Cricetulus griseus: one gene and its partners. The protein of the gene in region 4 interacts with the protein of the main gene of each other region in a pairwise test. Links are inferred from orthologs where the notes say so. Each region holds a gene or a part of one and is shown on either strand. Other genes may lie near its edges. The genes, in order: Ppfia1, Rap1gds1, Mcm7, Mbip, Ndel1, Bfsp2 and Epb41l3.

Evidence for each region.
Region 1: the proteins of Mbip (region 4) and Ppfia1 interact in binary tests that used the Homo sapiens proteins (3 or more experiments, as listed by UniProt). The two-hybrid records come from large-scale screens. The link is inferred for Cricetulus griseus from reciprocal best matches to the Homo sapiens genes MBIP and PPFIA1.
Region 2: the proteins of Mbip (region 4) and Rap1gds1 interact in binary tests that used the Homo sapiens proteins (3 or more experiments, as listed by UniProt). The two-hybrid records come from large-scale screens. The link is inferred for Cricetulus griseus from reciprocal best matches to the Homo sapiens genes MBIP and RAP1GDS1.
Region 3: the proteins of Mbip (region 4) and Mcm7 interact in binary tests that used the Homo sapiens proteins (3 or more experiments, as listed by UniProt). The two-hybrid records come from large-scale screens. The link is inferred for Cricetulus griseus from reciprocal best matches to the Homo sapiens genes MBIP and MCM7.
Region 5: the proteins of Mbip (region 4) and Ndel1 interact in binary tests that used the Homo sapiens proteins (3 or more experiments, as listed by UniProt). The two-hybrid records come from large-scale screens. The link is inferred for Cricetulus griseus from reciprocal best matches to the Homo sapiens genes MBIP and NDEL1.
Region 6: the proteins of Mbip (region 4) and Bfsp2 interact in binary tests that used the Homo sapiens proteins (3 or more experiments, as listed by UniProt). The two-hybrid records come from large-scale screens. The link is inferred for Cricetulus griseus from reciprocal best matches to the Homo sapiens genes MBIP and BFSP2.
Region 7: the proteins of Mbip (region 4) and Epb41l3 interact in a two-hybrid assay, tested with the Homo sapiens proteins (2 studies listed by BioGRID). The two-hybrid records come from large-scale screens. The link is inferred for Cricetulus griseus from reciprocal best matches to the Homo sapiens genes MBIP and EPB41L3.

Annotation. Positions count from the first base shown.
Region 1 is NC_048596.1:56,882,925-56,886,065, reverse strand, and holds part of Ppfia1 (liprin-alpha-1), read right to left. Parts: intron 2,145-3,141; coding exon 1,979-2,144; intron 199-1,978; coding exon 140-198; 3' UTR 128-139; intron 1-127. UniProt on the Homo sapiens protein: May regulate the disassembly of focal adhesions. May localize receptor-like tyrosine phosphatases type 2A at specific sites on the plasma membrane, possibly regulating their interaction with the extracellular environment and their association with substrates.
Region 2 is NW_023276806.1:20,491,234-20,495,840, reverse strand, and holds the start of Rap1gds1 (rap1 GTPase-GDP dissociation stimulator 1), read right to left. Parts: upstream 2,951-4,607; 5' UTR 2,749-2,950; coding exon 2,745-2,748; intron 1-2,744. UniProt on the Homo sapiens protein: Acts as a GEF (guanine nucleotide exchange factor) for the Rho family of small GTP-binding proteins (G proteins) that stimulates the dissociation of GDP to enable subsequent binding of GTP.
Region 3 is NC_048597.1:116,885,490-116,888,410, reverse strand, and holds the end of Mcm7 (DNA replication licensing factor MCM7), read right to left. Parts: intron 2,881-2,921; coding exon 2,797-2,880; intron 2,255-2,796; coding exon 2,086-2,254; intron 1,992-2,085; exon of another isoform or gene 1,911-1,991; intron 1,773-1,910; exon of another isoform or gene 1,692-1,772; intron 1,575-1,691; exon of another isoform or gene 1,476-1,574; intron 1,328-1,475; coding exon 1,218-1,327; intron 1,049-1,217; coding exon 847-1,048; 3' UTR 697-846; downstream 1-696. UniProt on the Homo sapiens protein: Acts as a component of the MCM2-7 complex (MCM complex) which is the replicative helicase essential for 'once per cell cycle' DNA replication initiation and elongation in eukaryotic cells.
Region 4 is NC_048598.1:146,084,695-146,089,329, reverse strand, and holds the start of Mbip (MAP3K12-binding inhibitory protein 1), read right to left. Parts: upstream 3,063-4,635; 5' UTR 3,000-3,062; coding exon 2,871-2,999; intron 1-2,870. UniProt on the Homo sapiens protein: Inhibits the MAP3K12 activity to induce the activation of the JNK/SAPK pathway. Component of the ATAC complex, a complex with histone acetyltransferase activity on histones H3 and H4.
Region 5 is NC_048600.1:82,758,713-82,763,124, reverse strand, and holds the start of Ndel1 (nuclear distribution protein nudE-like 1), read left to right. Parts: upstream 1-1,317; 5' UTR 1,318-1,448; intron 1,449-4,412. UniProt on the Homo sapiens protein: Required for organization of the cellular microtubule array and microtubule anchoring at the centrosome. May regulate microtubule organization at least in part by targeting the microtubule severing protein KATNA1 to the centrosome.
Region 6 is NC_048597.1:211,682,693-211,686,593, forward strand, and holds part of Bfsp2 (phakinin), read right to left. Parts: intron 1,335-3,901; coding exon 1,203-1,334; intron 1-1,202.
Region 7 is NC_048595.1:457,934,399-457,938,782, reverse strand, and holds the start of Epb41l3 (band 4.1-like protein 3), read right to left. Parts: upstream 2,923-4,384; coding exon 2,731-2,922; intron 1-2,730. UniProt on the Homo sapiens protein: Tumor suppressor that inhibits cell proliferation and promotes apoptosis. Modulates the activity of protein arginine N-methyltransferases, including PRMT3 and PRMT5.

The DNA of each region.
Region 1 (3,141 bases), on a different chromosome or scaffold from region 4:
GTATTCTTTCAGTTCCCAAACAACTGAGGTTGGCTCTCATGGTCCAAAGTTGCCAAAGCCAGGTGGACATGAAGTGCCCCACCTGCGCTGTACTGGGGACATCTGGGAACAGCAGCTCTCTACTCACCAGCAGGAGGCTCTAGCAGGAGTAAGTCCTGACTGTGGCAGAGTCCAGCCTCTGTGCTCCGGACACACTACCTGTTTCCACAGCCATGGAAGGAAGCGTGCAAACACATCATGCAGTTAGTGTTAAACATCACACAAGGGGACAAAAAAGATATTACACACCTGACAAGACTTCCCAAGTGATAGGAGGATAGCCTGCTGTGGGAAGGGGCCAGTCAAGATCACCAAGGTGGTGGTCAGGAGGCTACTTTTCAGGGCCCAGGAACTGGCAGCTAACTCAGAAACAGCAATGGGCAAGCAACACAAACACAACATCAGTCATCCATGTACATGAGTGACAACTATGAAAGAAACCACCATGTTTCTCTTGAGACTACACCACGAGTCTTTTGCCAGAATATTGCACCTCCAAGAAGCCAGAGGTATATGTACCCCAGCCCCAAGAAACTCCTAAGGCAGACGGCTCCATGAAAGAGCAGGATGACCAAGACAGTGGCTTCTCTTAGGAAACCAATATTCAGACTCAGTTTCCATTAGAAACCATGGAAACTGCTGAACTGATGATTATTATTTAACAAATTGCCAGCACGGCTTAAGATGGGCCTGTGTACAGAGAGGAGGCTAAGTTCTCATAGCCACATCCTCAGAGCCACTGGGACAGCTGACTTAAGGGGAAATGCTTGCCATGTACACTGCATCTATCTCACCTTCCCTCCTCAAAAGAAGACCTCAGCACAGCTGGTGGCCATGTGAGAGGAGAGAAAGCCACGTCCACACCCTAGACTCCTACAGCTCTTTCCAGGCTGCCTTTTCTCTAAGCTCCCATTCTTAAAGCATTAGTGCTTGACTAAGAAGTATGGTTCAGAACAAGGAAAGCCTGTATGCGCCCATTTAGCCAGAGCCAGGCTGGCATACTGGCTCTCATGAAGTTGCTGACTGGACCTTCCCCTGTAAGCACAATACTGAACCATGGCCAAACCAGCCAGAGCTTTCTACCTTATGTGCTTTCTAGGAGTCCAGCCCAGCAAAGCTTTGCTCATGTCCCTGTCTCTGGTTTGTGCAGTGAGAGCAAGAATCCCAGCAGACCAGCAGCTAACCCACCACCTGCACCAGCAAGGAGGTGCACCCTGACTGACAGGGCTCAGGTTTGGCTGCTTCAAGTATACAATTATTGATTATCAAAACTTCCTCAGGAATGCATGGCACAGCCTGAGGACTTGCTCAAGAACAAGCCTGCTCAAGGTCATGTGTCCTCTAGCAGCAAGGTCCTAGGCAAACCTCATCTGACTTTTGTTACCTCCCAGAAGCTTTGGGTCCACTGTGTCAGCTGTGTCTGCCATTTCTGACTGGAACATTTAATAGACCCAACTAGTTCCAGACCATTTCCCCTGTCCTATAACAGGGGCATGTGTGGCTAACAAATAGCAGAAAAAGATGGAAACTGCACTATTTACAATTTACTTGGGCCAGGTGTTGTGGCTTATGTCTATAATTCCTCCAGCATTAGAGAAGCTGAGGCAGGAGGTTTACTGTGAATCTGAAGATGCCCTAGGTTACTACAGTAAGACCCTGTCTCAGGAGCAGGCTCTGTGGTCAGGGCTTTGGCAAAGTGACATACAGCAAGTGCACCTGTGCTGCCTGTCAGGTCTGATCTCACAGTATGGGTTCTACCCCGTCCCCCAAACAGACAGGATTTTCTTAGTTTCTGTTACTTTGGTTAATCTTGAGGAAACAACGTTAGGGGGTTAACTGAACAACAAATACACCTGAGCATGCAGCCTCACTCCAACGCCCCAGGTGCAGCCAGTGTGCACACTTCCCACACGTGGTGGTTGTAGGACCCACCACATACCATCCATTTGAACCTTCTTTGGCTGCATAGAGGGAGATGACATAGAGGAGGTGACCCGGAAGTTGGCAGGCAATGTCTCTGCAGAGCCAGAGGCCAGGCCTCGGATGTCCTTTGGTCTGAACTTCTTTCTCCATGAAGGTGCTCTCCTGAAGCTTTTATCATCATCCTGGCAAACCAAGGAGACAAGTGCCAACTGACAGTAAAAGTGGGCACCCAGCCAGGTCTGTGCTCTTCAGATGTTGCTGGACTCTGGCTTGTATGTAGCTAACCTTCCTGTTGACAGCACAACTGCCTGCCTAGTCCAGCTCTGCAGCAGAAAAGGACTGTGGAGACACTCCTCTGGCCACAGATGGAGAACTGAGGCCAGTCCTGGGCTGTGGCCCTTTTCATGCCTCACTGGTCATTCAAAAACCACCTCACACATGTCCTAGAATAGAAGTGGAGGAGACAAACTTTGTCCCCTGGAGAAGGGGAAAGGGTCACCATCCCCTGAGCAAATTAAGAATACGGGAAGAGGGGGGAGGAAGCTACAAAAGTGAGAAGGGAAGAAAAAGAAGGATGCAGAGGTCATGAGGAAGCAGAAATTTTGAGTCAGGTGTAGATTAGAAGAAAGGACATATGACAGGTAGGATTTTAGTTGGGGGAGTGGTAGAGGAGGAAGGGAGGGAGAAGGGAACTGGGATTGTCATGTAATTCAATCTTGTTTGTAATTCAAATTAAAAACAAACAAACAAACAAACAGCCACCTCACAAATGGGATGTCCAGACTAGGACCCAGGCAACAAAACCTCTTCAGAGACAGCTTCTGCTCTCTTTATCAAACTAGAGTTCTGTTCAAGGCCCAACAACAATAATCCTTACATGTGATGTCGTGGGGTTTGAGAGGGAAGAAATAACAGTTTTGAACAACATAATTCTCAGACACATCTTTCCCCAAAACACAGAGGCTCTGGGTTGGGACAGAATGACCAGTGATTCCCAGAATACAAGACACAGACACTGCTTCTGGGCTTCATCCAGTTTTATGACTTGACAACCATTTATGAGACATCAAAATCAACAGGAAGCCAGGCATATTGGGTACACTTGCAACCCCAGTTCTTCGAAGACACAATGCTGCAAGTTCAAGGTCACCTTTAGCTATATAGTAAGACAAGAGCCTT
Region 2 (4,607 bases), on a different chromosome or scaffold from region 4:
CAACAGTCTCATTTCTACCTTTTAGAAGAGTAATTAACTAACTGTTGGTTCACCTAACAGTTCTCTAAAACCTCTGCATCCCCAAAACCTTTGTAATATAAGCAAAGATTCTTTGTGTCATTTGCAGAGTTCTTCATGTTAAAATAAAAATGATTTTATGTTACTGTTTGAGACAGGATAACTTTTCTTTTTAATCCAGCTAGGCAGCCCAGGCTGGCTTCAAACATGGCTTGACTCTCCTGCCTCAGCCTTTCCCCCAATGTGGTGGGATTATAGACACGTGCTATTACACCTGCTACTTAGACATTAATTACTATACAGTTATTTGTGGATCAGATAGGTCCTAAGATTGTGGAAACCTGAAGTATGGCTGTCTTACTCATCTTTCTCCCCCCACAGTACACTTCATTGGGTTGATTTTCAATTTTGGATTATAGTAACATATACACATAAACTAACAGCTGTCTGCAAGGCTAGGTAGAAAACTGCCTTTGTTTCTGATGGAGAAATGTCACTGCCATAAAAATATCCTTTAAGGGTTCCACTTGGGACTCAAACATGTCCAAGGCCCTGGCTCAATCCCCAGGACCACAAAAATGAAACAGACTATCTTTAAAATAGATATACCTTATTTATTTCTTTAAAAGACAGAGTAAAAAGTAATTTCCCTACCATTAACTAGTGTACCTTAGGAGTTGTTATAACTTCAATGGCTCAGATAAGGCCTTACAACTGGACTTTTCTGCTCCAGTGTCATCTATACCTCCGAGTCTACCAATCCATGTATTCAGGGCCTACATTTTCAAGTCGAAGAGCAAGAAGTAAATGACAGTATTGAGAATAATTTGATGAAATTTTACTCAGCACCTACTATGTGAAAAGTACTAGAAGAGATGCAAAAATTAAGACATAAAATTCATCTTCTTAAATTCAAGACTAAATGTACAAAAGATATAAATAACCCCATTAGAGACTATGTAAGTGCTAAGCAAGAAAGAAAGAAAGAAAGAAAGAAAGAAAGAAAGAAAGAAAACTCTAACAAGGTACCCCAAGTGCTAGGAGGAGGGGGCAGAAAAGTTTCTGAGAAGCTTCAAAATAAGATGTGTTTCTATTTGGCTTCTTCTCATATCTTTAATTTTAACCAAGCAACACCATTCAAGATTTGCAAGATTACTAAATAACTTAATCTGTTTAGGGCATTTTTATTCCCTAGTTTGCAATGGCCTTTGGATACTGATTGACTATTTTAAGTGCTTAGTTAAAATGAGTTTTAACTGAATCTCACCTTAAAAAAAAACACGTGACTTTCTTTTCTACACTAAACCTATACCTGTAATTCAAACCCTTTGAACAGTGAGATTGTAATCTGTAATCTGGATTAGTATTCATTACAAATGCTATTTCTAGAGAAAGGGACGTATACATGGGACGACCCTGTTTTTACAAAAATTTGTTTCAAGTATCAGTAGTATTCAATTAGAAGAAAACGAGTGAACATAAAATTCAGGGTCTTTTTTTTTTTTCGGTCATACCTCCTCCTCCTCTTCCAAACGTTTTCTTCCTACTGAAGCATCAAAGGTCTGACTCAAAGCTCCAGGCATTTGCTCTTCCGGGAAACTCTAACACATCATTTCTAGATTCAGGTACTTCCTTGAGCATTCAGAATTGCCAGGGCCTTGGCCCTAGCAAGCGTGGAGCACGGTACTGACAGGTGAAAGGACTCGTGGATAACTTGCACCGCAGTGGGGAGAGTCGAGTGGAGAGGGACGCCAAGGCAGCCGAGTTTAAACAGAGGAAATCGAGACAGACGAGAGTGGACGCAAACGGGGGACGCGTGCCGAGTTGTTACTACAAAGGAAACTTTCCGCTCTTAATGACGGGCCGTTTTGAATTCTACACAGGGGAGCGGGATCTGATGGCAACTTCAGGTTCAAACAGATACCGTTCTATCAAACATTTGCCTTCAAACACGCGATCTCCCGGGATGAACTAAAAGCAATGGAACTAGACTCAAGATTGTGCAGCTCTGGGCAGGGGGAGCGGGGAAAGGAATTAGCAGCAGCGTGCGAATTCCGTAAATGGGGTCCAATGGGTCGAGGTGTTAGCTTCCTGCCACCGCGGCCACCGCCGGAGCACCGGAGCCAGCCGTGCACACCCCGGGCGCCCAACACCAACCAATTCAACAGCTAGCGGCTCCCGCCGGCCTCGCGTGGCCCACGGCCGTCCCCTCCCTCTCCTCCCTCCCCGCCGCCGCCACCGCCGCCGCTGTCCCTCTCGCTGCAAGTCCCCTGCTCGCCCTGGCGAACAACTTGCCGGCTCGCCCCGCGCCGGCGCCGGCTGCGGCGAGGCTGGGGGAGAGGTCGCGCCCCCGGGGAGGAAGTTGCGCCGAGTGGCCGGGCTGGCGGTGGGACCGAGCGGGCGGCGGCGGCCTCGCAGCCCCGGGGACGCCCCGCGCGCCCGGCGCCCGGAGCCCGGCAGCCGGCGTGGAGGAGGGGAGGGGAGGCGCGGGGCCGGGCGAACCGGGCGAGCCGGCGGGCTCCGACCCCACCCCGCGCGCGACCCCGCCGGCCCGGGCTCCCCGGGGAGGGCCGCCGCCCGGCACCCCGAGGACCGGGGGAAGCCGGCAACTTTGCACGAGACAAAAAAAAAAAAAAAAAACCAAAAAATGCTCCGGCACCCTGCAGCAAGCAGCACGCTGAGGGGGGAAATGAAAATGTCAGGCGATGACGGCGGGGAGGACTTACCCATGGTCCTCCCACGGAGCGAGGACCGGCAGGGCGAGGCGAAGGGTTCGGGTTCGGGTTCGGGTTCGGGTGCGGGCGGGCGGCGTCCTCCCTCTACCTCCGCGTCTCCCGCAGCCAGGGAGGGACCCGCGGGGGGCGGCCCGGGGAGGAGCAGCGGCTGCAGCGGCTGCGGGGCGGCGCGGCCGCGGCGGGGACGAGCGGCGGGGGGCGGGGCGGGGGCGGGGCGGGGCTGGCGGCGCGCGGCTGGGAACCAGAGAGCGAGCCAGCGAGCGAGCGAGCGAGCGAGCGCCCTCCGGACGCGCGGCCGAGCGCCCCGCCCTCCCCGGCGAGCATGCTCAGTGGGGCCGGCTCTGCCTCCTGCCCACGGCCGGCGAGCCTGAGCGAGCCTGAGCTCGCTGGGGGGCGTGTGTCCGCCGAGCGGAGCCGGGCAGCCAGTTTGGCCGCTGTCCCCTGAAGGGCGGAGGTCAGGCTGAAGTCACCAGGCTGCGGGGGGGACACAGTCCGCCGCCCACTCCCCGGTCCCCCCCACCCCACCCCCGCCACGCCCCAGGGCAGAGTGCGAGCACCGAGCGGCGAGCGTGCAGGACGGGGCAGTGGACGCCCCAGGCGAGCACGTGCGGGGCGGAGGAGCGGGAGGATGCGGATGCCCGCGGGACCGTGTTCCCTCCCCCCCCCCCGAGGGAGCGCGTCAGGCCGCCCCGCAAGGAAAGCTAGCGGGAAAGTGGGTCAAGCGGGACGGCGGCCGCAAGGTCACGGCCTGCCCCCCGGGCGAGCGCGCGCCGAAAGCCCTTTAACGGGGCAGCCGTCGGGCCGGGCGAGCCCTCCGGGGTGTGTCCGCCGCTCTGGCGCTCAGCCGAGCCGGGAGGAAAGACGTGAAGTCAGAAAAATCACAAGTGCAGCTGCGGGCCGGGGTAGCCCGGTGGAGGATGAGCCGCCCGGGGACAGTGACCGAGGTGCTCCCATCGCGGGCACCCTCGCCACCAGGCCACCAGGCACGCGCGTGAGGCTCGGACCCCGGCTGGGCTCCCACTGCATGGAGAGGAGGCCTTGGGAGACCTGCGCTTGTCCCGACCCCCGTGTGGTTATTAGGACCTGGACTCTCTAGGATGAAGATAGCTGAACCCCGGTCTCTTTCCTCAAAAGGGGGTGTTTCTTCATCTGTGACTCCCCCAGACCAGTCTCTAATATTACATACAAAGCTCCAAAGAGCCTTTGGATATGTTAGGGCCTGGGATTTTATGTGATTTTCTGAAGAAAAAAAAAAAAAATTAAAGACAGGTGTGATCAATTTGCAGCCGCTCCAGCATCAAGTGATGTAGAAGTTAAGCACCCCTTTCTTGAAGAAAAACACCCTTATATTTGCCTCAAAATTCATCTTGCAAAAGCTCCCTAGGGCTGTTGTAATGATCACTTCACACGGGATTCGAACAAGGAAATTACTGAAATTCTGTAGGACAGAAGACAAATCAGGGCAGGGCTATATTCGTCTTTTGAGGGCGCGTCTTAACTTCCGGTAATTCTTTGCCTTGTGTAACTCCAGCTTTCACATATTCTCCCCGTGTGCTTACGAGTCCAACTTTATTTATAAGGACGCTGGTCATGTAGTATGGCCCTCAGTGTTTGCAATGACCTCATTTCTAAACAAGGTCACATTCTGATGTGGAGGGCCACAGTGAGGCCTTAAGCCCCCAAGTTCCCTGTGACAAACATACATGTCCCACATCCCACTGCTTTTTTTTTTTTTGTCTCCTTTTCAAACGCTTCCAAAAGACCACCCCAAACCTCTGTGTTGCTTCGCATCTTTGTCGTTTCTTCTTAATATTCGCAAATGTCTTCCAGATTCTCCATTTCAACTTGTTTTAA
Region 3 (2,921 bases), on a different chromosome or scaffold from region 4:
GTCTAGATAGGCAGAATGTGGTAGGACTGCCTGTTTGCTTCTAGTTCTGTGGTAGCAATTTACATAGGCCAACCCACAGAAATGACAAATGACTGCTTTTCCAGTCTCTGAACGGGAGGGATAAAGAGCCTATCTTGTAATTATGGATAACGTAAACCCTTGGTCCCATGGAAGTGAAAAGTACCAAGAGGAACAATTTCTTTGAGTCTCTACTTCAGCCCATCTGTGAAACTTCCACTGAAGTCATTTCTTGTGCCATCCTCCATCTCCTATTTCACCACCCTCTCAAGAGGTGGGAATTAAAAAGAATGTCTACAATGGAAATATTTCAAGAAATGAGTGGGAGCTGGGCATTGGTGGTGCATGCCTTTAATCCCAGCACTCGGGAGGCAGAGGCAGGCAGATCTCTATGAGTTTGGGGCCAGCCTGGTATCCAGAGCGAGTACCAGGACAGGCTCCAAAACTACACAGAGAAACCCTGTCTCAAAAAAAAAGTGGGCCCTAGGCCCTGATCCTGGCACTGTATTGATTAGCACACAGTAAGGCTCAGTGCTTCATACATACCAGGGGAGAAGGCTCTATTAAGTCCTTGCCACACCCTAGCTCTTAAATGTGGCAAGGTAGAATAGAAACTTACATTGGAATTAGTAGTGTTTGCCCATTCCCCAAAAAATGCTATCTTAACAGAAGCCAGGCCCAAAGTCAAAACATTTTATTAACAAACAAAAAAGTGCAGTATGGGAAAATTCGATCTGTTCCTTTGGGGCATCCAGCAAATGCTATGGGGTGCGCAGCAGGGCCTTAAAAGCTGGTCGTCAGACAAAGGGTGAACCTCAAAGCTGGTCATCAGACAAAAGTGATGCGTGTCCGAGAAGTATTGACCTGCCAGACATTTAGCTCCTCATATTCATCCAGAGCTGCCTGGAATTGGGCTGGTGTGAAACCACGTGATATGCAGCGCTGCTCAGCCTCAGAAAACCGGACACTTCGTCCCCCTGAGACCAATTCACGAACTGTGGCAAATATCACATCTGCTGGCCTCTGGGTCCTGAAACACATAGATGGAAAATGTCAGTGTGCAGGGCTAAGCAAACAGAATAGCAATCAGAATCAAAATCCTGAGGTCAAACTTGTATGTTTGGGTGCAGAAGCCACAAAACTTATGACCAGCTCAATAAAGTCAAGTGCCCCAATTTCATCTTCATTAAGACACTCACCTAGCTGTTTGTCCCTTTTCACCTAGAAGTGAGTCCTTTGACATCTCCATCAACCTTATGGCTTCATTTACATCTTCTTTTTCCACAATGTCCACCATACGGAGGCGAGCCTAAGGGGGAAGGCAAGAAAAAGATGGGGATAGGAGGGGAGAAAGGGGATGAAGTCAAAGGTCTTCACTGCTCCAGCTTCAAGGGTGGCAAGCCATGTTTGCCCACTTAAAAAAATGGGGACTCCTCCCTGCCCCCTCCCCCAATCTGCAGTGTTGGGCCGGCACTGTCAGACCGAGACAAGTGCAATGCCCAGGGCAGCTTCCAGCAATTGCCCAAGTCTCCGCCTCTCAACACTGGCCAGTCCCGGTAGGTGTTCAGCTGTCCTGTGAGGGAGACCAGACCCTTCTGAACTCCACTAGGTTCCCCATCATGACAAATGGGGCCTGGGGAGCTCAGCTAGGGTCATTGTCAGAGAGGTTGTGTCCTGGGGGCTCGGGAAGTGCTAGCTCAGCAGTAGGTCAGGTAATTACACTACCTGCACGAACAGCACTTTGGAGCCCCCATGACTAAGGTCCAAGAGGGAAGGACAGAATGGAGATATCTAAGACCATATATCTAGGACATCAGGAATTCAACAAGTCCATCTGCCCCTCTTGGATTTAAGTAGCAAGCAGCCTTTCCCTCCATGGGTGTTGTATGTGCCCTGCTGGAGCAGCAAGTACCCACAGTGCGGTAGCACAGAGAGGACCACTATCTGCACTGTCAGCACTTTAGCCCCAGCAGGGCTAGTGGGAGGGAGGAAGAGGCAGCCTGAGGGCCATTAAGGTGAGGTGGCAGGCAAGGGTCAGCCTTCCAGCTGACAGGACACAGCACTCACCAGAGCAGTAGAAAGTCGAAGAATGGCCAGTAGGGTCCGGGCAGAAGTATAGGTGGCATCCTTACTGGCCCGGGCCTCTCGCCTCATCTCTACATATGCTGCTGTGATGTAGTCAGCCAGAGATTCAGGCACGGTAGGCTGCCTCTCTCGGCACATGGCTATGTACCGTCTGTGGGAAACAAGGCTTGTGGGAAAGCAGAACACAGGCGTGCTTTATAGATTCCCTACTTAATATTCTATGCAGGAAGTGGACAGCTACTTGCTTGGGCATCACTGAGGGACTCCTCCAAAACAGGGCTGCCAGTGCTCAAGTAATTTGCAACTTTTCAGGAAAATTAATTTGCACTACACCTGCACTGGGATGACCTAACCCCTCTGAACTTGTCACAAAGGGAAGACCAGGTGAAACCAATTTAGAGACTTGAAGATCACTGAGATATCTATGCCACAGTACCACACATGATCAAGATGTACCTGCCTCACCGCTAGGTCAGGATGATGGTGAGGAAGGAAGGTTCTTCTATGTATGGGGAAGGGGGTAATTATGGCAACATTCCCAACAGACCTCTAAAGATCTCCTGTTTCCACAGTAGCTAGGATTAGAGCCTGCTGCTCTATCATCCCAAACTAGAAAAAAAACTTCTGATGATGCCCTCTGCCTTGTATGGCTAGGCTACAAAGTTGAGACCTGGGTTCACTCCCTACCCCTACCTCATAAGCTTCATGTCCAAAGGTTCAAACTGGGCAGGGGGCTGCCGGCTGTGCTGGTGGACATAGGTGATGTGCTGGGCCAACCTAGAGAGAACACAGGCGAAACTAAGAGCTATATACCTTGA
Region 4 (4,635 bases):
TAAAAATACTTAAAACTCAAGATTATTCACACATAGTGATAGATGACAGTAACTAATTCAAATAATAATCAAAGTATTAGTTATGAAATTGTTGAGCTGAAAAACAAGTATGTTTCTACAGCAGTATAACAGATTGACAGAACTGTGTCCAGTGTGTTTACTAAGGATTTTTTTTTAGTAAAATATAAGTCTCATTACATGAAAATTTCTCATCACCTAGTGGTGATTATACCTAGAAAATTACACCTAGAAAATACCAAGAACCTGAATATAAAATTAATATCAAAATCAGTCAAAACTTTAGTGGGAGAGGAGAAGCTCCACCTGTAATCACTGACTGAGTATGAAGGAATCCCTATAAACTTTTCTAAGGACACCTATTGTATAAGTACATTGTATAAGTACATACCGCATAGTGGAAGGAAGTTAACTGTATTTTGCAAGAATAATTTATTGGCAACTAGTCATATTTTCCACAAAGTAAAGATACACGTTTCATGAATTCAACTATCAATCTAATGAGTTGTTAAAAATAAAAAACCAAAACGTGAATCACTGTCTACGGAACCAAAGAAATCCCAAGTTCCCAAAGTAAGCACTTTCGTGTACAATGGATACAAACATTTACTGCTGAGACCAGAACCATTTCAAGTCCTTATTTGACAGACATAAAGAAATATGAAATTTTACATAGACTATACTGGCAAAGATAAGCTTACAACTAAGTTAAGATTTGACATTAAGATTAATAAGATTACTGTATTTAATAATGTGTATGAAAGCAATCCATCAGCATGTGTTTACAGTTCTCCAAGAGACATACAGTTGACTATGGCAAATTTAAATGGCTTGAAGAATAAAAAAAACAAGTAATCTTTAAACCTGAGGAAAGCATCACATTCTTTAAAGAAAATAACTATAGAAAAGAAATCTTAATGGCTGGATAATATTCTATGTCAATTCAGCAGAATTATGTAAGTCTTCAAAGGCAACTCAAGATAGTTGGTCTTCCATGAAAAATCAAACAATAATGTCATAATTCAAAAATGACCCCCAAATACATCCAATTTTTCATTCAGCAAATTCCTTTATGCATTTTACCCCATAGCTCTTGACATTCAAATTTTTCTATTAATACACTAGATTAATCAGTTATGAATGTTCAGTAGAAACTAATACAAAAAAAAAAAAAAAAAAAAACAAGCTAACAAATCTTTAGCTTGATAACATGGGCCAATGAGAGGAAAGAAAAAAGGTTAATGTAAGTGTATTTTGCATTTGGAGAAAAAAATACTTTTTACAATTCAGTTTTATACTTTCTTTTGAAAAGCACTAATAATTCAATGATATTTACAATGAACTAATAATTACAATTTACATCTTAAAAATCCTTTTAATTTGTTGCAAAAGGACACAAGTTGCCTAGGGGCAACTTACATGTGTGTATGGCTTAAATCATAATCTCAAAATACACAATAATACTAAAACAGCATTTAATTGATTTAAAAAAAATCTTATATTGACACTTGTATAAAGGTCCCTTTAACTATGTTACATTTGTTGGCAGGTGGCATAAGTTAAGATTGAATCGTTTTTTCCATTTGAACCTTTGGTATAAATTTATATAACTTTGAAAAAATCAATATGCAGAATACTTTAGATGTTCAAATCATTTATCAATGTACATTATTTTTGCAACTTCTAAACACAAAGGCTGAGAATATTTTTCTCATCTGGACATTAGAATATTAATGATTAAGTCTTTAAGTTCCAAATCCATGCCAAAAAGTTCTTTGACTTTTGAACTATTTAAAGATCTGGAATATTATCACTGAAATGTTAATTTAAACAAAGTCTTTAAGACTTGGGAAAAAATTTACTAATGCTCATTAAACAATTGATTTTAAAGTTTTAATTTTAGAAGACCACTATTAACTGCCTCATAACACCGAACTGAATGTACAAATGAAAGTAGTTTGCCAGGCAAAATAAACGTACTAAGGTTTTAAAATTTTTACTAAAATAACTTTTTACAAGATCAATTATTCATCCATCTAAGGGTTTTAAAAATAATTCTCACAAATCAGGTAAATGCCCTATTGTCAGAGGTACCACATGCACTAGACCAGCCCCCAATCAAACTAGGAAACAGTTTGACATAAAATATTTTTAAAAGCAAGCAAACATACTTTTGCTCCTTATTAAAAATAAGCTTCATTATATCATGAATGGCTTTATCTAATAAAGTGAAGGAACCTCCTTTTTAAAATCCAGTTTTACTATGGCATTTCTGTAAGAGCGATTAGTTAATAGTCACACGACACTAGTAAAGACGGTAGAGCTGGTCATACATTCAAATCATCCAACAATTTACACTAAAATCTAGGCACATTACAAGTTAGTTATATTTTAGAAATTCTTACAGCCCCCCGCACCGTTTCAAAGGGTATGACAGATGCAAATAAATGATGAGAAACAAATAAAAACCCAGAGTAAATCACCCCCTAAAGAGTGGAGATGGAGGTAGGAAAAGTTTCAGGCCATACTAACCGACGAATTAAAACAGGGGAGGAAAAACCACAGTCAGCTCCAGGAGCCTCCTTAACCCTGCCATCTCTCATGCATTGATTTTCTGCAAGAGTTCGGCGCCAGGACCCGTGTTTCCTCTCGCCCTCGGTACTCACGCGTGGTCACCGAGTGTGCAGCCGGCCGCTCCCGGCCCCAGGCAACTGGGCTCCCGCTCCTCCCGGTCCCGGCGGCCGCGGCCTCGGCATCCTAGCCGCAGACGCGATGCGGGAGGACTCCGCGACGAGGGAGGACTCCGGAGAGAGGACCGGGATGCTCCCCACCCCCGCCGCACCTTCACTTACCTGCCCAGTCAGGGTGTGCAGGGAACGAAAGAGCTCGCAGAGCACCTCGCGGGTGAGAAGGGGGCTGGAGCTTCGCTCCAGGTTCCTCTCGCTGCAGCTTGAGGCACTGGGCTCCGCAGCAGCAGCCATGACACCTTCGCAGCAGCCCCCAAGCGCGGCCAAGACGGCTCGCCCCCTCCCCTCCCGCGCGGATTCCGTCGCGCTGAGATGACGTAAAACTACCGCGTCTTATTTGGATGTGAGGGTAGGCCCCACTCTCTCTATGTGACAGACAGGCACCGAGACCAATCAAGAGCAAGGCGTCTGAACTCGGAGGTTCTGTGTAGCGCAGGCGGACCCTCTGTTTGGTGATGTTTTGCGTGGGTGGCTATGGCTTAGAAGTCTACCTTGGCTCTTAGACGCTCCCCGTGAGTGCCGGAAGAGCCTTACTGTTAAGTGTTAGAAATTGAGTCCCTCTATTAAAATTTAAAATGTTAACATGGCGACTTGGAGTTGGGACAAGGTTGAGGGTCAGCGATGGAACGGGGCTCACGTGTCTGAATACTGGAAAATTCATACCCAGGATGATCATAACTGGATAGAACATTTTCATCTCTACAGGGTTGTTTGACGCGAAGAATGTAAGAAAAACTGAAAAGCCTACATTATGCCTCCTTTGTCAGGAAACGACATTGATGACTATAACTGTAAAATAGTTTGTCAAGTTTCTAATGCAACAGTTTCTCAGTGGACACTCAATGGACACTCAATCCTAAAATTGTTTCAAATAAATCCAATAGAACTTTAAACCAACTAATTTCATATTAGTCGAAATTGAGATAGAAAACTAAATCGACACTTGCCGGGTATTATTAGATAGCTTTATTATAACGAAAGAGTTATAATTTTATAATGTAGAATTCTGTTAAAATTTTAAAACAAGCTTAAGAGATAAGCTTGGTCTACTGACCATGTTGCAGGACAGCCAGGGCTAGTATACAGGAAGTAGAGGTATGGACCTAAAGTGTATTCTATAGAGTTGAGAAGAAGCTGAATGAAGGAAGAAATAAGGAACCAAGGGACACCGGGATAAGGATAGTAAAAATGAAAGCACTCCTTTGACCTGTCTCTACAGAGCCTTTTACTCAGTTATTTCCAAAGATGTCTGGGATCATCAGACATAGCAAGAAAGCTTGTCTGTGTCCTTGCTAGCAGTAAGATCTGAAGCCGGTAGAACACCTGTTTGGTGACAGAGATTGAAACTCAAATCAAGCAACCCTCTCATTCCAGTCACTTGTCCTTATAACTAAAAGAAATTCACAATTTGTTGTAATGTTAGCACATTTTTGTCTCTGATTCACTTGTTAATGGGGGATAATTGTAATGTGGAATCTAAGAGTCCTTGTTCTATACCAAGTAATGATCTTTGGATTTTTTAGGCAATAGAGGACTTTTATTACACATTTTGAGAGTGATTAAGGTACTGCCCATTCTTTTCTTTGTCATAACTGATTTTGAAACCCAAGCTTTTAGTTTCACAATTTTTTTAGTTGTGTGTGTGTGTGTGTGTGTGTGTGTGTGTGTGTGTGTAGGTGCCCAAAGAGATTAGAAGCAGGGGATATGAACAGCTAGCCAGGCATTGGTGTTGAGTCTCACACTTCAGTCCTCTACAAGAACAGTTGCATTCTTAACCACTGAACTGTCTCCCTCCCTCCCTGCCTGCCTCCCCTCCCTCTCCTCCTCTCTCCCTGCCTCCCTCCTTCCCTCCCTCCCTCCTTCCTTCCTC
Region 5 (4,412 bases), on a different chromosome or scaffold from region 4:
TTGATATTAAGATAAACTGGGTACAGTCCAGCCATGGTGAAGTCACTTTTGTCCCAACCCATAAGTGCACTCCTCTCTCTGACCCAGGTTGTGGGCTATCATCTGTTTTACTGCCACTCAAGACTACACTTCCCTTAGCAAGTCCTACAATAAATTGCTCTCTGTGTAATTCTAGAGTCTGACTACCTGTCTGTGGAACCATGTTATATTGGGGCCGGTTCTCATGCAGTAGGCCTGGGCTGGGTTGACCAAAAACAGCTTTAAACAGGGGCAATGTTTCCATCGGATGGACACGATCCACGGATTTGTATAGACTGACTTCCGGTACTTGCTGGCTCCTCCTAGGCACAGAGAGGCGAATATGCACAGCTCCTGCTTTCCTTGGGTAACTTTGGGAAGTAAGACACCCTCATGGGAAAGGACTTTTCAGTGAAGCGGCTTGTTTTGTGTCCTTAACTGCTGATAGGGCATTGTTTGTTTTTCATTAGATGGACATTTATAGGCTAAACATAACCAGCCAGTAACTTGACTATGTTATCAGAGCCCACTCTTATCAGTGGTTCCTGTTCTATTTCGTAAGACTAATTGGCACGGAGTCACTGTGGAGTCAAGTGACGTGGATGGGCCCACGTGATCCGATAAAAGCTTAGAGAATGGACCAGCCTTGGAAAGGCAGAGAAGGGACAATACTGACAGCCCAAGGGACTCACTGGATCTTGGGACTTATATGGTGCCAGTTATACACATTATCCCATTTAAGTCACAACACCAGGCGTCGGTACTGGTATTACCTGCAATTCATGGGAGGGAGGGAGGAACATGAGACTTAGCAATGCAAAGTCTAAGCTACCTGACTTTAAAGATTGTCTCCTCTCCTCTCCTCTCTCTGTGGTTTGCTTTGATTTTCAGTAGTGAGCACAGAACCCAGGGCCCTACACAGGTTAGGCAAGTGGTCTACCATTGAGCCACACCCAGCCCTACCTAATTTGAGCTCTCACATAGTATACTATGTGCTTCACCGGGCTCAGCATTGCACTGGCATAGAGATAAAAGCACTGACAGCCGTTCCTTCAGTTGACTCTCCCCTCCCAAATTCAGGGACAGAGACAAGAAAGTGGGGGAGAAGACAACCAGCTGCTCGCACACATGCAGTAGAGCTGGGGAGCCCTGAAGCTCTGACTGCGAAGCTATGACTGGCATTTTACTCCCTTTCCCAAGCTCTGAGGTCTTGCTCAACTCTAGCTGAGTAACAAGGCTGGCAGGGTTACCTCACTTCTTGACAGCAGGCCCCAGCCTTCCTGGCTCAAACCCACTTCCTGTCCCAGAGTCTCTCTTGTTAGGCATGATTGAGTCTCATTCTTCCTGTTGACTTCTGTTTTGTTCCAGCTGGTCCCCGGGTGGCCCCCACGTGCTGCTGTGAACCAGATCAGCTGAGGACCTGCGACCAGGTGCCTTGTGATGTGACTTTGGGGAGTTGGGGTGAGGGGAAGCGAATGGGTGGGAGCCTGGGCCTACCCCGAGAGAGAGCAGAGTGGAGGCTTCTGGAGTCTGAGGATTCTTTCTGCCCATATGGTGGTCAAAGGCTGAAGTTAGTTTGTAAAGTCATTATGTCCCTAGTGGCAGGTGACACTGGGAGTTTGCTACAGTGAATTTTTCTGAAAGCACAGTATCTTCCATCTTCTGGATTCTGATTACCTTGATTTGGTTTCTGTTTCCTGGGCTGCCTGCTAGCATTTCTTCAGGGGCTGGGCAGCTCTTTGGGTTCAGACAGGTTTACCTGGAGCTGATGAAGACACAATCAGGGTGAGGCTCTGGTGTCATGCTGGACTGAACAAGTGAGGGGCTTGTGTTGAGATATTGTGTACTTCTAAACTGCTTAACTGCTTATGGGATAGTTGCTTCTTTCAATCTGTTTTCTTGTCTACAGATGGCAAAGTATCTTTATTTTGTTTAGATTTGTGTAGAGCTTATAGAAAAATGGTTGTGAAAATGTTTCCTAGATTGTAAGGTTGTATTTTTCAAGGCTTGGGGCTATCTTTATTTCATTTTCTAAAGAAAACTAGACATACTTTTTCATGATAATGTTTTACTTGGTAAATATCAAAACAGTACAGTTCAGTACACTGAAAATCTTTGCATAAGTAAACACCTAAATATGAGCACTTTGACATATAAACTTAAAATTTATCTATTTTTATGTGTATGTCTGTGCGTGGGTATGTGCACACAACTGTGGGTGCCCTTAGAAGCCAGACACCCTGTAACTGGAGTTAAAAGACAGTGTGATCGATCCTCCATGTGGATTCTGGGAACCAAAGCCAGTTCTCTGCAAGATCAGCAAGTGCTCTTAACCATTTAGCCATCTCCAGGTCCCCAGCCCCCATTTGATTCAGGGTCTCAAGTCTATAAAGTCTTGTTTGATCTAGAATTTTCTATGCAGAACAGGTTGGCCTTGAATCTGTCTCGATTTTCCCGCCTCTGACTTCTGAGTGCAAGGTTTCTAGGTGTGCACCGCCGCACCCACTTTCAGCACTCTCACCTGGCTTCAACATACACATTTTGTTTCAGAGACAGATTTTTATGTAGCATAGGCCAGCTGGAACTCACTGTATAGCTGAGGATGACCTTGAACTCCTGTTTTCCTGGCTACACACACCAGAGCTAGGAGTATAGGCATGAGCCATCACACCCAATTGACATACTTTCAGTACAATTTTTAATGTTGAATTCTATTTACTGTCCTGTAACTTCCCTCCTTCTCTCCTTTCCTTTTCTGCTCCTTCCTTCCTTCCTTCCTTCCTTCCTTCCTTCCTTCCTTCTTTCCTTCCTTCCTTCCTTCCTTCCCTCCTTCCTTTCTTAGACACAGCTTCACTGCATAGTCCTGGATGGTCTGGAACTTGCTATGTAGACCAGGCTGATCTCAAACTCACGGATATTCCTCTGTCTCTGTGCTGGGATTAAAGGCATGTGCTACCACATCTGGCCTATGTGGCTATTTTTTAGTTTTCTGTTAATAAAAGGCAAGGGTACAGAAGTCATTTATCAGCTACCCATATTATTGTTTCCATCCTCCCAATAAGATAATTTGTTTACGTTGCTGCTGTACTCTCAACTGTGAGGATGGTGATTGTTAGTATTCAGGAATCCGTACTGGCCTGCCCTTGGGGTCCTGACCAGACACACCCTCAGCTGCAGCTACTAAGAGCACCACCTGTGCATATTCACTATGTTCCCTTAAAAAGGACCCTGTCTATCTCCCATCCTCCTCTCTTTCTCTCTCTCCCTTTCTGCTTCTCTTTGCTTGCTCCCCAGAGGCTGGTTTCCCCACCCCTTTCCCTTTAATGGTCCCTTTCCCTCCATTGAACTCTGTGGCATCTCATCTTTCTCTCTTGGGCTGCCTTTTTTTTTTTTTTTTTTTTTAGTTACAACACAGATAATGGTGATAATGTTCCTTTTTTGTTTTACTTTTTGCTCCTGGAATTGATAGTTGCCTCAGGTTTTTCTTTATTTAGTAATCGTGTGTGTGTGTGTGTGTGTGTGTGTGTGTGTGTACTTTCCAGCTATTGGGCCTGGCCTGTGTGTAGTGTGCTCATATCTGGATGAGGCTGTGTGGTCAGGAGACCCACTGAAGAATTCCCTTCAGCTGCCTCATGCTGCTGCCGCCATCCCTTCCTCGCCAGCATGGACTGTACCCTCCAACTGTGAGGCCCAAGTAAATCCTTTCTTCTTAAAAAAAAAAAAAAAAAAAAAAAAAAAAAAAAGATTCTCTGGCCACCTGCATGGAGGGTGTAAGAGAGGTTGCCAGCATTTTGCGGGGTCACCCAAGGCAGGGGCTGAGACATCATGGCCTTGGAGGTGTCCTTTCTCCCTGAACCTCCTTTTTTGTGGTGAAGTAATCTAACTTCTTCTGGGTCTTCTCACCTTCTGCTGTTGGGCAGGGGTGAGGCAAATGCTTTGGTTTGCCTGCTACCTAGACTGTGAAGTCTGTATCTAAATTGGTGGTTCTCAACCTGTGGGTCATGACCCTTTTGCAGGGGTCGCCTAAGGCCATCAGAACATACAAACATTTATATTATGATTAATCACAGCAAAATTAGAGTCATGAAGTAGTAAGGGAAATAGTTTTATGGTTTGGGGTCATCACAGCATGAGGAACTGTATTAAAGGATCTGGGCATTAGGAAGGTGGAGAACCACTGCTCTAAATGCCCTGTAAATGCACTACCTCCAATACATCTTCCTGTTTTCCCATTCCTCTTGCGTTCTGAAGCAGCTAGAAACCCTAACTCAGGAGCCTTTCTGGAGTTCAGAGGCATGGCACAACTTGCTCTGGTTGGCATCTAGCTTTCAGCTTCCTGACTGTTGCTGGCTTTCACTCCTTCACACACTTTCAGGCTTGCAGCATCATGTGTG
Region 6 (3,901 bases), on a different chromosome or scaffold from region 4:
ATATAGAAGCATGCTAACGCTCGCGCGCGCGCGCGCGCGCGCACACACACACACACACACACACACACACACTCACACTCACACAGGGTCCAACAATGCTTTGTAGTTAGAATGTTGAAGGAGATGTCATATCTCAATAGAGTTCAGTCCCACCCAGACCGAAAGGTGGAGCTTAATTCAGTCTACTTAGGAGCTTGTGTCAGGTGGTTTCAGGATGCTGTGCATACCTAAACTGACAGATGCAAATCTCTTACAGAAAAGTGATATAATATGCACATATAACTGACCCAATCCTCCTGCATATTTCCTTAAATCTCAGTGAAGTATCTCTAGATGACTTTTATGTGATACAATGTACAGCTCTATAGATGACCGGGCTGTTGTTTAGGGAACAATGATAAGAAATAAAGGCTGCGCAAATGCAGAGCAGGTGCAATGTTTTTCCTGAATATTTCCAGTCCAAAGTTGATTGAATCCACAGATGGAGAAACCATGGATACAGAGGGCTGACTGTAATTATTTTAATTACTAATAATTAGTAGTTTCCAAGCACCTGCTTGCAAACCACAGTGAGTCTGAGCTTACTAGGTGTTTGAGGTTGAGGCAAGGATCCTGGAGCTTATACCCAATTGCAGGATTACTGTCAGGAAAAGAGGGATTGATCAGGACAAAGGAGACAGGGCAGGGATGATGCTAAGCAAGGAAGTAGCCTCTCTGAAAACTAGCTCCTGCCTGATCCTATGGAGAGCTCTGTACAGCTGTTTCCACTGTGAAGTTAGCAGGCTGGGCTTTCAAAAACATCAGTCTGTCACTGTCTGGGGCAGGGGCATGGCCTGACTTCTTGGATCAGGAGTCCTCTGTTTGGCTGATGGCAATTGTCTGAAGAAACGGGGCAGCTGAGACAGGGCAGCTGCAAGTGTTAGCGGCCGACTGGCATTCTCAGCAGTGGCAGGCAAGGGGTATTTCTACAGGCCCTGCTGTGTCCACCATACTTGTTAGGTCTGAGTCAGTATCTGGTAATCCTCAGAGGTCAGAAGACACTTCAGGCGCCAAACCACACCCTGTGAGAAGGAAGCCCTTTGTGAAGTATGAACTGTGAAACTTCAGACTGACAGTTGAGAGTTAAACATAAAACCGTCAAGGCCTTTTTTTTTTTTTTTTTTTTTTTTTTTTTTTTTTTTTTTTTTTTTTGGCACACTCACCAGAGCTCGTAAAGATTCCATCTCAGCCTGGAGACTTTGGACTTGGCATGAAGCGTCGTGTAACTCTACGCTGAGGGCAGCGGCCAGCTTTTCTTCTTGGGTCTGAGATACATGGGCCACTTCTGTCTGTTGCTGTAAAGAGTCAGGTCTTAGGGTGAGCGGGATGAGTTAAAATCCTGAACCCACCCTTTCTCCTTGGCCCCTTCTAAACTGACTCTCTGCCACACTAAAAACATACACCTTTTTATAAACCTGCTAACCAATTCATATACCAAAAACTGTTTTGAACCTTTGATGCCTACAACTAAAATAACATTCAAAAGATGTACTAAAGGCTTAGCTCAGTGGTAAATACTTGCTTAGTATGCATGTGAACCTGGGTTCGATCTGAGCACACACTCTCTCCTCTCTCTCCCTCCTTTCCTCCCTATGGTCTAATCACACCGTTTTCCTGTTTCTAGTTTCTTATATCTCCTTTCAGAAATATTTCATGCACTGATTAATGGCATGGAGCGTGTCTGAGATCTGTAAGGGTATTTTTGCTGTTATGTGAACATTGCAGAAATGTGCCCACACAAGTGAAGGTGGCTGTGATATCACTAGGCAATGAAATCTCACAGGCCCAATGTTGCATATTTAATCTGTCATTGACCATGACATCCGTTTTTAGTGCACAGTTGCATTTGTAAATACATAGTAGTTACTGTCTTCTCTTGTTTGCTACAGTACTTCCTATATGTTAGAAACCGGTTTCTGCTGGGTGATTGTAGTCTTCGAGCAGCTACATAGCATTGCCTTGATTGGAGGTACTATGATTCATTTAGAAATTCCCTATTGGTGGACACTTCAATTGTGTCCAGATTTTCCCTATTTCAAAAAATAACCCTTGATGCTTCATTTTTCCATCCAAGAGGGCATCTCCGAGGGATACATACTTTAGACAAACTATGTATGTAGGTAAAGACAGGATCTTCTCATGTACCCCTGAACTCTCAGTCTTCCTGCTTCAGCCTCCAAGTGGTGAGATGACACACCTGCCCGGAACTTAGGATACTCACAAATTATCCTTTGGAGATTTGTAACTCTTTCAACACTGGGAGACAGTACCAGGTCCCCACACTGTCCTCACACAAGGGGTTACATTTATTCATTTTATTTTTATGTGTGTTTTTCTGGCATATAAGTATGAGTACCATGTGCATGCTTGATGCCCGTGGAGGTCAGAAGACAGTATTGAATCCCCTGAAAATGGAGTTACCAATGGCTGTGAACCAACATGTACCTGGGAAATGTGCCTGGGTCCTCTGCAAGAGCAACAAGTGCTCTTAACTGCCAAGCCATCTCTCCTGCCACAAGTTTTCTATCTGGATCTCTACAGCTGACAGTCCTTCTCTCCTTTAAAATTAAAAAAAAAAATCCCTTTATATATTTGTATGTGGGGGGGCATATTTGTGTGAGTGGACACCTGCTGTGGCTCATTTGGGTATGTGTTTCATGGCTCATGTGATGGTCAGAGGACATTCTACAGGAGCCAGTTTTCCTTCTACCATGTGGGCTCCAGGGACTGAACTCAGGTCACCAGGCTTGGTGGCAAGTGCCTTCACCTGCTGGGCCATCTCTCTGGCCCCAGTCCCCTTTACGTTGTACAAACCAGTACAGATGCAATTGTGACTATAAGGGGGCAGTCTGTGTTCTGAACCTCTTTTTCTGGAGGGCGATAGGTGGGCTCTGATTCCTCCTAATGCATTCTGGGGAGCAGGTCCCCTGCTGGTGGATGATAAAATGAGGCCACCCTCTTTTTTCTTTTCTTTCTTTCTTTTTTTTTTTCTTTTTCAGTATCTTCTGATGTGGTTGTCTCTGAGCCAATGCTGTAAGCAGAAAGGTTGAGGAAGCCTCTGTTTTCTCTGCAGATTCCTACCTTCTTGAAAGGGTCATTTGGAGCCATGTATGAACATTTACAGAGGCATGCACAGAATCTTCCAACCTAATTGTCTGCCTAAGAAGCCCCCACCAAGATGCTCCCATCAGTAGCAGGAACACTAATCTTTGGGAGACTCTATACCATGTGAGCTCTGGGGATTGGACTTGGAGGGGTAAAGTTTGACAGAAGTACCACCTGCTGAGTCACCCCTATCGTTTTTATATATAAATGGGGCTGTAGCTCAAAGGGAAGGCACTTGCCTAGAATGTACAAAGTCTTGGGTTTGATCTTCGCTAGCACAAAAAAGTAATAACTACCAAGAAATGAGTTTGCAAAATCCACTATGTGTTGAATACAACAACAGCTACTGCTATTACTATGAGTAATTAATATGCATTAGGCTCTTATTCTATGCCATGGATAACTCTAAGTCCATTATCTCACGGTCTCTTTACAACTTTGTGAAATTACATGTCATTATTATCCTCAGTTGATACAAGGAAATGGAGCCTAAGCAATTTGCTCATGATCATGTGACCTCTGAGAGTCTGAAGCAGCTGTATACCCACGACATGCTTTCAGCCCTGTTAATGCAGCTGTCTCTGCCAGCCTGTTGACTTAAGACCTTTGATACTTGGAGGTGCCTCCCTCAGATTTTCTTGGATCACCTCATTTTAATACATTAATAGGCTTCAGTATCACCCGGGAATTTGAAAATGGAGGCTGTGATGCGGGAGACCCCGAATGGAGCTTGGGAGTCTGCATTGCTCAGTCTCAG
Region 7 (4,384 bases), on a different chromosome or scaffold from region 4:
CAAAATGGTCAATGCAAGAAATCTATAAAACATCATTAATCTGGCCTTGACATAGTTTAGGGAGAAGTACAGTAATCCTGAAATTATGAGCCATGATATATCTTAATTAATACATTATAATTTATATATGATCCCAACATATTTAAATTGTCTCGTTACTGGAAAAGTCAACTGAAGCTACTTTTAACTTAAATTTTGCTGTGAATCACCGTTTTTCTATATACTGCAAGAGATGAGACTGTTTGCCCACCACTAAAAGTATCTGTATGAAAACAAACTTTCTGGCTTAGTTAAACATCAACTGCAAATGATGTCGTTAGGCAACCATCGTTCAAGGACAGATCTTTCTGGAACACATGAAACCGGTATCTACCACCGTGGCTTTTAGAAGCCACGTGTGGAAAAGCAGACCAAGTGTCTCAGGTGAACTGCCAATTAGAGTCATGTGATGCATGGCTGTCAATCATTTTAGCAAATATGTGGTGATCTCTTTCTTGCACAAATAAAGCCTGTCTGGGGGTCAGAGAATGGAGCTTGCCACTAGCTAACCATGGAGGCCTGGAGGTCTGTACAGACAGACAGGAAGTGATGCAGCTGGGCAGAAACAGGATATAACAGGGAGAAACAGGAACTCGCTCTCTTCTCTGCTGAGACACTTAGGAGGTGAGGTGTGCTGTGACTTGCTCCTTCTCTCTGATCTCTCAGCATTTCCCTCTATCTCTGACTCCGGCTTTTTATTATATAGACCAATTGAGAGCTCCATTTACACAAATCTTCCACTCCACGCAATCCTCCTCATTGCTCTGACGTGTAGGTACTACAAACCTCAGTTATAAATGAAGAGCCACAGGACCAGGGGGCTAGGAAACTTCCCAAAAGGTCATAAAATTAAAATCCAGCCACATTTTAATCATCATCCTATGACCAAATAGAAGACCTTCAGAGAGAATCGTTGTTGTTAACATTTTGTAAAGGTGAACGTGAGGACCAAAGGCCAGAAAGAGTCTTCCAAAGCAGACCAATGTTGCCGTGAGACAGGATTTACTCAGTTGTCTGTCCTGTGCAACCAGGCACATTTCCCTCTGCAGATTCAGTATCATATCCATTGTTGGTGTCAAACATTTGACTATGGAAGACAAAGTACAGTCATGGCCCATGTAACACCACACAGACCACATATATGACGGTGGCCTCTTAAGACATGAGGCTGGATTGGTTAGAAGGGCTTCGGGGAAAGTTGGGCAGGGAAGTTAGGGGCCAGAAGTGAATGATTCATTGCACATATGTATGAAATTCTCAAGAATAAAGAAAAATCTGTGTAAACACATAATTCAACTGCTTCGTGATACAGTTGCCATTGTGAAATTCAAAACACTACACAGCTCAGGTGTCTGTGATGGTCTGTATTATCAGACACACAAAAGTACAGCCGAGACACTTATGTATATAGCACATCATAGCTGATCATAATAAATTGTTATATTATTGGCTTGTGGGTTTACTATAATACACTTTTTAAACCATATTACAGTGTGGTGTTCCCGCTTATAAAAATGTTTACTACGGAACACAGTAAGCTGTTATGACAGCTGCAGTACACACCGCAGGTTTGCCAAGTCTCTTGACTGCATGGTTTCCTTCATTCTTTAAATTTATTTATTATACACACTTATTTATGTGCATGAGTGCTTTGCCTTCATGGATGTATATGCAGTACATGGGTGCCTGGTGCCTGCAGAAGTCAGGAAAAGGATTACCATCCCCTGGAACTGTTCCAGAGGGTGTGAGCAACGGCTTGCATTCTGGGAACCGAACCCAGGTGTTCTGCAAGAGCAGCCAGTGCTCTGAATCTGTCCAGCCCCATTCATGCTACCTAAAAACCGGAACTTGCAAATGTCATGTGACCACAGTAACATACCCCGCCTCATAAACAAGTGTTCAGGGTCGTAACGTGCTGTAATGGAGTTTTCTGCCCAAGGCTAACTTTATAACCATTCACTCAACATGTGCTAAAATTTCTGACTATGCAAACCCTTTGGAACACGAGGTCAGTCGCTCCTCTGGCTCCAGATCCCTTTATCATGCACAAGAAAGCCGTCTAAAGCACCAGGGTTTGAAGTTTCCAGACTATACTGGCTCATCTGGTCATCATCGTACTTTATTCTTTTGATTTTATCTACATATTTATACTTATTGATCTTTATTTTCTTGATAGTAGTGGGGATGGAACCAAACCTCCATAGGCTAAATAGGTAGCTCCACTGCTGTGTTCCAACTCACAAAGGGCAGAAGTAATCGCTTCCCACATCCCCGAACATGCATAAGGAACAGCAATGACCCTACAAATGTATACCAGGGGAGGAGTTCCGCCACAAATAAAGAGTCGCTGAAAGTATATGACCATGCTTGGGTCAGAATAATGGCTGGGAAAAACAGCGAGAGGCATAGTGGGGCTGCCAGCTGTTGTCTGCCCTTATGGTAAACTCAGATCTAGGCAGAATCGTCTGTCAGTAGTTCAGCTGAGTGTTAACAGCTTTAATCAAAGGCAGGAGGTACCAGTCAAGGCTGTGGGGTGCCCCTGACTGAAAGCCTTCAACAGTGACACCACTGACCCTTTGGGTGAGAGGGCAAAAGCAGGTGACCTTCAGAGTTGCACTTAGGGCTGGGAGGAAGCAGCACAGCTCAGCCAGGTCCCCTGACTGACCCTCCCCAGCGATGTTCCAGGCTCACCTCCCTCTTCACCGGGGTGCTATGTGCAGCAGCTGCAGGGAACTGCTCTAGCGCTGGCGGGTCCTCACTGCTTCCGCTGGCAGGCTCTGGTCCAGGCTGTGCCCCTGGCTGTCCCTGAGGCCCTGCTGCCTCCTGGGGCTCAGCCTCCTGGTCTGGCTTGGATTCTGAGTCTGATCCTGATTCGGTCGTCATGGTTGATTGTTCTGCAAGCAGAAAGAGAGGCAAGGACCTGTCAGTAGCTGTGATTATCTTCCAGGAGATCTAGTATGAAAGGGAGGAGGAGGGAGAGGGGCGCCCCGGCCAAGCACAGTCCTACACTGCACACCAGAGAGGCGCTGTGTAGAGAATGGTGCTCACAGTGCTCACAGTGGCTCAAAGCAGACGTGTAACACAGTGAGGTCATCTGAGAGTAGGAACCTCACTTAAGACAATGTCTTCATAACACTAGGCTACAGGCAAGTCTGAAGGGTATATTCTGAATTGGTATATTCTGAATTAGTGACTGATGGAGGAGGGTATGGCCCATTGTGGGTGGGGCCATCCCTGGGCTGCTGGTCCTGGGTTCTGTAAGAAAGCAGGCTGAGCAAGCCATGAGGAGCAAGCCAATAAGTGGCTCCCCTCCATGCCCTGTGCACCAGCTCCTGCCTCCAGGTTCCTGCCTTGTTTGAGTTCCTGTCCTGACTTCCTTCAGTGATGAACAGTGATGTGGAAATGTAAGCCAAAGAAACCCTTTCACCCCCAACCTGCTTTTGGTCATGGTGTTTCATAGCAATTAAAACCCTAAGTGGGACAAACACACACTAGAGATTAATCTGTCATAATCAACAGGGTTTCTTCATAATAGATGGTGGCCACAAGTGAAATTTTAAAATCATTGCTAATTAGGGTAGCGGATGAGGAGTATGTGTTTGCTGAGTATGTATATTCTAAGACCTGTGAAGGATGACTTTCAAGATTAGATATCCCACAGGCTTCTCAACTCTGCACCAAGGACTCTCCCACCCCCAAATCTACGGATTTTTCTAGCAATAGCAAATGTCTTTCTTACTGGTTTTCACCCAGTTCTGCTATTTCCTTTTGAACTGAAATATACAAATGCAGCAAGCGTCACACCGTCAGCATCTGTCCTGTGATTGAAGGGCAGCTTGTATCTCCCCTCCCTCCCACATCTTTCCTGGCTCCCTCCTGCCTGTGAACACTGAAGGATACCTCAGTCTCACATCTCACAAGAAATTCAAGCAAAGACCTTCCTGAGTAATAGGCTGCCCCACCCTAAAAATACCACCCAAAACTACCACCTTCTAACAGAGTGCTAAAGCAGACCAGCATTTTGTGCCTCAGTTTCCACGGGGGCCATATGAGAAGGCTGAACATGTTCAAACCCAAATAATAATTCCTCAGTCACTTTTGCCTCTCGCTCGCAGAAATGCTCCGTGTCTTTAATAAAACCCATTCTTTCTGTGTGTAGTAGGAGAGATGCTATGCCAAGCAGACTTGACTTTTAAGTGCTTTGCATAGGGATGGTAAATATCCCACAGATAATACATCTTTTACCATTCCCTTTCACAGTTCTAATTACCTGATTAAAAAATATTCAGAGCCAAGGGCTAGTGTAAGACCTTAAGTAAATGGCATATGCACGGATACCATATGC